Linked DNA regions of Macaca fascicularis. The protein of the gene in region 1 binds, or shares a complex with, the protein of each later gene. Links are inferred from orthologs where the notes say so. Each region holds a gene or a part of one and is shown on either strand. Other genes may lie near its edges.

Region 1 (5,393 bases):
AGTGTCCGCCACCTGGGTTCAAGCTTCTCATGCCTCAGCCTCCTGAGTAGCTGGAATTTCAGGCACCTGCCACCATGCTTGGTTAATTTTTGTGCTTTTAGTGAGATGGGGTTTCGCCATGTTGATCGGGTTGGTCTCGAACTCCTGACGTCAGGTGATATACCCTCCTTGGCCTCCCAAAGTGCTGAGATTACAGATGTGAGCCACCGCACCCTACCAGGAAAGAGGTTTAATGGACTCTCAGTTCCATATGGCTGGGGAGACCTCACAATCATGGCAGAAGGCGAATGAGGAGCAAAATTATGTCTTACATGGCGACAGGCAAGAGAACTTGTACAGGGGAACTCCCATTTATAAAACTATCAGATCCCATGAGACTTACTACCGCAAGAACAGTAGGGGTAAACCGCTCCCATGATTCAGTTAAGTACACCTTGCCCCACCCTTGACACAGGAAGATTATTACAATTCAAGGTGACATTTGGGTGGGGACACAGCCAAACTATATCACTCACTGTTTTGAAATATTACTTTTAACATATATTAAATTTCCGTATATAATTTAGACCCTGTTTTTGGGCTAGTACTATACAGTTTTCATTACTATAGTTTTACAAGGCTACAATACTTTATGAGAAACCTTGCAGGTCAGATGTGATTTTGTAGTCAGGAATTTTTTCCAGTAATACTTGGTGGGCATTATGTAGTATCCAGTAATCACACACATTGTTTTCTTAATGAAATGTATGAAGTCACACTATGTGGGATACATATAAACAGTAAGTAAGCTCGGGTCAGGTCCAGTTTTGCTGCTAGATGAGTTAAAAGGAAAAACTTATTTTCAGAGCTTTTTTGATTTTTGCAGTACAAATAAAGAATTACGGATTTGTAATTTATCTTGCTGTTGAGGGCTGTTTTCCTTCTTTGTTCATCTGTTTTAAATTGTTTGGTTACTCTTGTATCTTTACTCTCCATTTGAATTTTAGAGTCAGTTTGTCGAGTTACTTGAAAAATCCTTCAACACCTGTGAAAGGAAGGGATCTACAGCTGGTTAGCAAAATCCTGTAGAGATTTTTCATTGGGATTGTGCTAACTAGTTGGGGAAGAACTGAATCTTAACAGTGTTTGTCTTCTCGTCCATGAACACAGTTAACTTTTCTTTTGTTTAGATGTTCTTTTATGTCTTTCAGTAAGGTTTTAGTTTTTTTCCCCCAAAATGCTTGTACATTTTTGTTGATTTATATCAAAGTGCTTTTATGGTTTTGCTGCTGTTGTGAATAGGATTTAAAATTTCTTTTAAATTAAAAACTGCATTTTCTAGTTGTTACTGTTGATTTATACATGAAAATATTGAAATTATATTGATATTGAGTCTGACCAGTTTGTTGAGTTCTGTTATTCTAATAACTTATCAGTTGATTATCTTGGGTTTTCAGTTAGAAAATCATATATTCAGACATTGATTTTAATCTTTTCCTTGTCAGTCTTTATACTTCTTGTTTTTTTTTCTTTTTCTTTTTCGTAGAGACAGGGTCTTGCTATGTATCCCAGGTTGGTCTTGAACTCCTGGCCTCAAGCGATCTTCCTACCTTGGCCTCCCAAAGTGCTGGGATTATAGGCATGAGCCATTGCACCTGGCACTTTTTGTTTGTTTGTTTTCCAGTTGCATGGTATGTTTTCAGCATTCAGTTTTGAGACATCTAAAATATCTCTAAAATATTGTTTACTATGAAGTACCTTATGCTGTAATCACATTCTGAATGCCTGAGTAAATACATGGTAGAAGGGCTAGATCTTCTTTAAGTGGGGGTAGTGGAACGTTTCTGAGAAGGGAAATATTTATTATTGGAGGATTTAATGTGTGATCTTTTCGTTACAGATATGATGTAAGATACTTCTTCAAGATTGGACAGCTGGGGACCTTCTTCTAATTAACCTTAAACCGACTTACAGCCATAGAGACACCTCACAAAGTTCCCATTTTTCGTTGTTGTTGATTTTTTGCTTTACACCTTTTCTGACCTTGCAACCATGTATGGAAGTGCCCGCTCTGTTGGGAAGGTGGAACCGAGCAACCAGAGCCCTGGGCGTTCACCCAGGCTTCCACGTTCCCCTCGCTTGGGTCATCGTCGAACCAATAGTACAGGAGGGAGTTCGGGAAGCAGTGTTGGAGGTGGCAGTGGGAAAACCCTTTCTATGGAAAATATACAGTCTTTAAATGCTGCCTATGCCACCTCTGGCCCTATGTATCTAAGTGACCATGAAAATGTGGGTTCAGAAACACCTAAAAGCACCATGACACTTGGCCGTTCTGGGGGACGTCTGCCTTACGGTGTTCGGATGACTGCTATGGGCAGTAGCCCCAACATAGCTAGCAGTGGGGTTGCCAGTGACACCATAGCGTTTGGAGAGCATCACCTCCCTCCTGTGAGTATGGCATCCACTGTGCCTCACTCCCTTCGTCAGGCGAGAGATAACACAATCATGGATCTGCAGACACAGCTGAAGGAAGTATTAAGGGAAAATGATCTCTTGCGGAAGGATGTGGAAGTAAAGGAGAGCAAATTGAGTTCTTCAATGAATAGCATCAAGACCTTCTGGAGCCCAGAGCTGAAGAAAGAACGAGCCCTGAGAAAAGACGAAGCTTCCAAAATCACCATTTGGAAGGAACAGTACAGAGTTGTACAGGAGGAGAACCAGGTAAGTTCTACGTGTGTGTTTAACTGTATTGGCTGAATTCATGTATGTAAATGAAATAGCCTTTTTTTTCCCTTTTCCTAGATTCTTCCCTTCGTAGTATATGTATCTTCCTTTTTCCTATTTATTTTACTATTTTGTGTCCTCCATTTCTCAGCCCTTTCCAAATTTGGTCCTGTGCCCTGTTTTTTTTTCTAGTTGCCCATGTCTGCTTGCTTCCATTCTTGCTTGGTTCTTTTCTCTGGTTTCTGTTTCTCTTCGTGTCTTTCCTTTCAGCATATGTGATTTTTTTTTTTTAAATTCTTCTGAGGTTTTAATTTTGCCACACACTGTAATATCTTTTACCAAATGTATTTAGACTAGGTAACTTAAGTGTAAGGTATACCATTAAGATTTGTCATGATGTCAAAAAGTCATTCTTAAAAACAAAACAAAATGACTATCACAAGATAAATCAGTGTTGTCAGCTGAGAACAGAAATTACTTTTAAAGAGTTAATATTGGCCGGGTGTGGTGGCTCACACCTGTAATTCCAGCACTTGGGAGGCCGAGGTGGGCAGATCATTGAGGTCAGGAGTTTGAGACCAGCCTGGCAACATCGTGAAACCTCGACTCTACTAAAAATACAAAAATTAGCCAGGTGTGATGGTGTGTACCTGTAATCCCAGCTTCTAAGGAGGCTGAGGCAGGAGAATCACCTGAACCTGGGAGGCGGAGGTTGCAGTGAGCTGAGATCCTGCCACTGCACTCCAGTCTGGGGTGACACCATGAGACTCTGTCTCAAAAAAAAAGAGTTAATGTTGATGATGTGTTTATTAAGTATGAACAATAACTATCCATTTTGTTGCCATTCATGAAAGTTTACCTTCAGGATGCTTTTGTAGCTTTTTGTTCTTTAATTCTTTACATTTAAGGCAGAGGAAAGGCGACCTGGTGTGATTGTTTGCTTGTAGAAAATAAGTGAGATGATTGGGCTTTATCATCATGGGGCTTTGCAGTTTGAGAGCTAAGTGCCGTCACATTAGCTGCAGGAAATACTCACTTATTTTTCTGTGCTCCTCCAGGTTACAGTTGATGTGTTTGGTGATAGCCATGTCACATTCAGTGAGGAAGCCGATGACTCCAAAGATGTGAACAAATCGTATTCAGGCTCTACCAGTTAAAATGTTAAACATACTTTTTTGTTTTTGTTTTTTTTGAGACAGAGTCTTGCTGTGTCTCCCAGGCTAGAATGCAGTGACACAGTCTTGGCTCACCGCAACCTCCACCTCCCAGGTTCAAGTGATTCTCCTGTCTCAGACTCCTAAGTAGCTGGGATTGCAGGTGCCTGCTCCCATGCCCGGCTAATTTTTGTATTTTTATTAGAGACGGGGTTTCACTGTGTTGGCCAGGCTGATCTCAAACTCTTGACCTCAGGTGATCCACCTGCCTCGGCCTCCCGAAGTGCTGGGATTATAGGTGTGAGCCACCATGCCCGGCCCATACTTTTTGTTTAAAAGACTTTTAGAATTTTTCTCTCTTTACTTTTTTTCCCCCTATGGTGCAAGTTGTGTGTACTTTTAGAAGTTTTCTTAAACTTGCAAGCTTGAATTTTTTTCCTTCTTAAAAAAGCTGTCTTATACTCTTAAAAGGAGAATATTTAATTAACTACCTCATTGTTGGTATTACACTTTATTTTTGGATTAGGTTACTCAAAATTATAAAGAAAGCAATTGAAGCCGGGCGCGGTGGCTCAAGCCTGTAATCCCAGCACTTTGGGAGGCCGAGGCGGGTGGATCACGAGGTCAGGAGATCGAGACTATCCTGGCTAACATGGTGAAACCCCGTCTCTACTAAAAATACAGAAAACTAGCCAGGCGTGGTGGCGGGCACCTGTAGTCTCAGCTACTTGGGAGGCTGAGGCGGGAGAATGGCGTAAACCCGGGAGGCGGAGCTTGCAGTGAGCCGAGATCACGCCACTGCACTCCAGCCTGGGAGACACAGCGAGCAATTGATATCAATTTCTGCATTCTTCTTAAATGATACCAAGAAGTAAAGAAGCAATCAGAAATTGTCTGTGTCTCTGATGAAGGAGTCGTCTGCCACACAAAGCTGTTTAGGTCCCTGATGGACCTAATGTGTGACTATGGTCCCATAAGGTTACAATATAGTATTACCAGGTGTGGTAGCTCGCACCTGTACTCCCAGCACTTTGTGAGGCTAAGGGGGTGCGGATTGGTTGAGTCCAGGAGTTCGAGACCAGCCTGGGCAAAATGGTGAAACCCTGTCTCTGCAAAAAATAGAAAAAAATTAGCTGGGTTTGGTGGTGGGCACCTGTACTACTTGGGAGGCTCAGGCAGGAGGATCACCTGAGCCTGGGAGGTCGAGGCCACAGTGAGTCGAGATTGGGCCACTGTACTCCAGCCTGGGTGACAGAGTGAGACCCTGTCTCTAAAAACAAAACAAAGATTATAATACAGTGTCTTCACTGTATCTTTTCTATGTTTAGATGTGTTTAGATACACAAATATTTACCATTGTGTTGCAGTTGCCGACAGTTTTCAGTACAGTAACATGCCGTACAGGTTTGTAGCCTAGAAGCAGTAGGCTATATCCTATGTCCTGGGTGTGTGGTAGGCTGGACCAGATGTGTTTGTATGAGTCCACTTGATGATCTTTGCACAATGATGAAATCGCCTTTCTCAGAACGTATCTCT
Region 2 (4,605 bases), about 29 Mb from region 1:
CTGGCTAACACGGTGAAACCCCATCTCTATTAAAAACACAAAAAATTAGCCGGGCATTGGTGGCGGGTGCCTGTAGTCCCGGCTACTCGGGAGGCTGAGGCAAGAGAATGGCGTGAACCCAGGAAGGAAGGGGAGCTTGCAGTGAGCCCAGATCACGCCACTGCACTCCAGCCTGGGCGACAGAGCAAGACTCCATCTCAAAAATAAAAAAATTAAAAATAAATTAAAAAAAAAATAAAATAAGAGAATTTTAAGTAGAATATTAATAGTGGTATGGAACCTAAAACAAAGTTCTCCTGGAATCCATCTTTCCCACTGCTGTCAAGCAGGGAATAGTCCTACACACTGGCTGGAAGGCTAGAAATGTACCATAATGAAGGAACCAGAGTGGAAGTCTAGCCTTCCTCCCGCCTCCTTTAACCCCAGTTAACTCCTGCTGTAGCAGAACCGGGCTGAAGTGAGACGGGTGATAGGGTTTCAGGTAACAGTTGTCCAGAGTGGAAAGGTAGGGAGAAGACAAGTCCTGGAAGATGTCAGGTCAAAAGGGTGGGCTCTTCCAAATGGTCACTGCACATAGAAACGCATAACTTAGAAACAGCTTGGGCTTAAAAACTCTATATTCTATTTAAAAAATATCTTTGGGCTGGGCGTGGTGGCTCATGCCTATAATCCCAGCACTTTGGGAGGCCGAGGCAGGCAGGTCACTTGAGGTCAGAAGTTTGAGACCAGCTAGCCAACGTGGCGAAACTCCGTCTCTACTAAAACTACAAAAAAATTAGCTGGGTATGGTGGCATGGGCCTGTAGTCCCAGCTACTCAAGAGGCTGAGGCATGAGGATGGCTTGAACCTGGGAGGTGGAGCTTGCAGTGAGCTGAGATTGTGCCATTGCACTCCAGCCTGGGCGACCGTGCAAGACTCCATCTCAAAAGAAATAAAAAAATATATATATATATTTTTATGAGATATAATTTACATACCATAAAATGTACCCATTCAAAGTATACACTTCAGTGTTTACATTGTTGAATGTATTACATATAAAATCAACTTTCTGGAGAGCTTAGTTTAAATTAGGCTTCACTTAGCTTAAATTGGGGTTTCAAATTATCCCAAGGCTGTTCAGTCACAATCACCAAATGCTACAACTTCAACTTCACAGGAAATATGCCCGCCACTCTCCTCAAGTTCAAGCAACAGCTTCAAACTCTGGTGTAATCACTACACTGTGTTTGGCTTACTCAATTTCTGCATTTTTCGAGAAAAAAGTTTTCTTCCCCCAAACCCCAGGAGTGAGTCACTTACAACAGTCATGTAATGTAGCATTCGACCATCAACCCGTCCTTCATCAAACTGGGTCTTATATTGAGGGAGGCCAATGTCATCCAACCATCCTAAAAGAGAGAGGCCAGTGTTGCTACCGTGCCACAAAACACCTGTTCTTGTGATTAAAAAGAAAAAGCAGCTCTGTATATAATTCTTCCATTTTGTTAGAATAAAAACTTCTTACTAGTGACCCAGTTGAAATCCAGCTTCCCGTGATTGGTTTCTTCTTCAGATCCCAGGGCTTGGAGTGCCAGCTGGAGTTTCTTTCGATGAAGTGAATGCTTGATTCCAAGTTCCTGAAACAATAAACATTGACTTTATAATTCTATCTATATAGGCTGGGTGCCACTGGCAAAGGATGCAAATTTCTCCAAAATGAAGCTAGCACTAAAGATCCAATTCAATACTAAATGACAATCCTAACTTGCGCTAGTAAAGTGCTGTTGAACGAAGGTCCCTGAAAAGCCAAGACCACCACAATTAGCTTAGGGGCGTGTTAGGCATTCCCTAGTGACTCCTTTTCTTTGTAAGCTAGGAACTGTAGCATGCATAAAAAGAATTTGACCCTTATTTTGTGCAAAATATTAAATAATTGTGAAGAAATGTTAAATAATTAGACATAAATTGTAGGGTGCTTTTTTTTCCTTTTGCAAAGTGCATTGCATATATTACACTGAGAAAATAGGCCAATGATAAAGCCATATAATGATTTCAAGAAATATGAACTTAATTATGCTTATGTAATTATTTTTCATTAAAATGCCCAATGGCTTAAGTGTTCCATAAGGAATCATCAAGACCAGGTCCTCCCAAGACCATCAGAAAAAAATAAGCATGAAGCAATTGAAAACCCAAATTTTTATTTAGAGAGTATTTACTGGCTTCACTCATGGCCTTTTCTGGACTATAAAACAACCCTACATTCACATTGTCTTCTTCTCAGTATCCATTGTGTGAACAAAATAGAGAAGCAGTCACCTTCTCTAGATCTTGTTGAGAAGCCTGCAAAAGCGTTTGGCCAGATGCAATCCAGTGCTTGCCAGAATTCAGGTAGGAGCCCAAGCCCTGTTCCATCAGCCAATTGCAAACCTGCTCCTTGGTCCACTTGGCAAATGGCATATCCAAGTCACTACAGGAAAATGAGTAATTGCATGAAAAATAATCCAAAGCCAATCCTGTGGCTTATCATGAGTTTTAAACAACTATACATTCAATAGACATGGACATTCCCTGGTGATACACATTTGACCACGAAAAGCTTAATTTTTAGTATACATTGGAGGAACAACTGGTACTGGAGTTGAAAGTTATCTTCTAAGACCACTGTCTCATTTCAAATGAAACCACAAAAGATTTAATGTGACAGAGCAAGAACAAGTTCTACAGAAAAAGACTAAATTGGAAAAACGTAAGTCACTGTATCAGTTTCAACCAATGTTGTCTGAAGACTGGATTCCCAAACAGGAAACTCAGTTGGAGTGAAAGAAACTTAAGTCTAATTTGAACTAACTTTAGCAGAATTATGGTTTATTTCCATATGGTAACCAATTAGAAGAGGGCAATATGTTGTCACTAAGTGTAGGAAACAATCAAAGCAAAATTCCTGTTTTCTTTTACTTAAGATACACAGATAGTGTTCTTGTTCCGCGGTGGGGACAGGGTGCGGAGGGGAAGATGAATGTGCTTTTTTTAAATAGCACAAGGAGCTCTACTGTGTTCAAAGACAACATATGGCAAATGAAACTGTTTGGTATTTGAAGAAGGCCAAAGAGGGTTTCCTCCTTGATGTAACCTATGTCCAGTGTTCCACCTGTATGGGAGGGGCTGTATTTAAAGGGTTTCTAGTCTATTATACTGTTAAAATATTTGGTATCAATGCCTTGTACTTTATGTTTGCCAACCCCACCCTTTTATACACAGTGAGTCAATGTAGCAGTTCTAAGCCAGCCCTCAACTTTGGTAAGAGTGTCAGAGCAGTTCTTAGAATCTTAATGGATAAAATATTATATAGTCCTGATAAATATAAGGATTCTGATAGAATTTTTGTCTCTAAGTACTTTCATAGATTCTGTTATATACTAATGTTTCTTGAGTAGTTACTATCTGCCAAATATTTAACACATACTAACTTACTTAATCTTCACAATCAGCTTTTGGAGTAGGCACTAATTATGAATGATGAGAAAACTGAGACACAGGGCCTGGAAGCTGTTGCTCAAGGTCACCCAGCTGGTAGAAAGTGGTAAGGCCAGAAAGCAAATCCAAGTGGTCTGATCTAGAACATACTCTCATGTAAATATCCCATCTTTCCAAAGCTATGCTTTAGAGTACTTATAATTACCGTCTATGTAAAATTTAAGTTTCAGAGCCATTCTAACACAGATGCTGCTGACACTTTAGCTCTGGCCTCTCCCCTAGTTCACACAGCCCTCACCTTCTGTATGTTCATCAACCATTGACAAATTGCACTGCTCTAAAGATGATGTCCCCTTTCACTAGGCACAGCATTAAGCAATGACTTTGTTTAACCCAATGACAGTACTAACACTGCAGGACTCATGAGGCTATGATGCTTGGCAGAGATGCAAAAGTCTATCAGTTGGCTCTTCTTACTTGTTAGACTGTCCCAAGTCTCGAGACCAACCCAGTCGGGGTCCCGCGGTTGCCCTTGTCCCTCCTCTTTTGAATTCAGGCTCAGACATGTCATCTGGGTTGAATGTAGTTGATTGACTTCTCCTAAGTCTGAAGAAGACATAACACACATGGCCAGTATTAGACCTGAGGAGGCCTTAGGCTTGTTAATCAGAGAATTTTTAACTAGTGCAGCTACCGGAACTAATCTTCTTTGTGTCATTAACATAGACATTTAAATTTAAACTTTAACTAAGACCCAATGAGTTAATAAATCCCACATCATAATCCAAACTTCCTTCCATAAGAGGAATACAAAGGCCTTACAAGTCCATACCCATTTCCAGCCACTTTAAGCAACATGTAAGACAGGGCCCACTCTACTTGTTCACTGCTTTACTTACTTTCCAAAGAGTTTCATGATACCTCTGGATTTCTTTTTGGAATCTGGAGATGGAGGTGGTATCTGGAAGGGACTGTTCCTCTGTGAATCTTTTGGCCGAGAAGAAGCACCAGCCAGATCTAGGTGCTCTGCTGTCTCTTTTTCTGTTTCAGCTACTCCAAGAGCAGAATACAGACAACGAATTTTAAAATATGGAATGAACATGATAAGATGTTAATCTTCTTGGTTCTAGAACTATTAAGAATTCT

The links. Proteins that work in one complex are often made in the same cells at the same time.
Region 2: ERC1 (region 1) and liprin-beta-1 share a complex: the UniProt entries of both Homo sapiens proteins name them as parts of the cortical microtubule stabilization complex. The link is inferred for Macaca fascicularis from reciprocal best matches to the Homo sapiens genes ERC1 and PPFIBP1.

Annotation. Positions count from the first base shown.
Region 1 is NC_088385.1:1,802,676-1,808,068, forward strand, and holds the start of ERC1 (ELKS/Rab6-interacting/CAST family member 1), read left to right. Parts: upstream 1-1,931; 5' UTR 1,932-2,031; coding exon 2,032-2,700; intron 2,701-5,393. Other genes in the region: uncharacterized protein, read left to right, coding at 1,880-1,931. UniProt on the Homo sapiens protein: Regulatory subunit of the IKK complex. Probably recruits IkappaBalpha/NFKBIA to the complex. May be involved in the organization of the cytomatrix at the nerve terminals active zone (CAZ) which regulates neurotransmitter release.
Region 2 is NC_088385.1:30,423,683-30,428,287, reverse strand, and holds part of liprin-beta-1, read right to left. Parts: intron 4,510-4,605; coding exon 4,359-4,509; intron 4,066-4,358; coding exon 3,937-4,065; intron 2,453-3,936; coding exon 2,302-2,452; intron 1,620-2,301; coding exon 1,508-1,619; intron 1,392-1,507; coding exon 1,303-1,391; intron 1-1,302. UniProt on the Homo sapiens protein: May regulate the disassembly of focal adhesions. Did not bind receptor-like tyrosine phosphatases type 2A.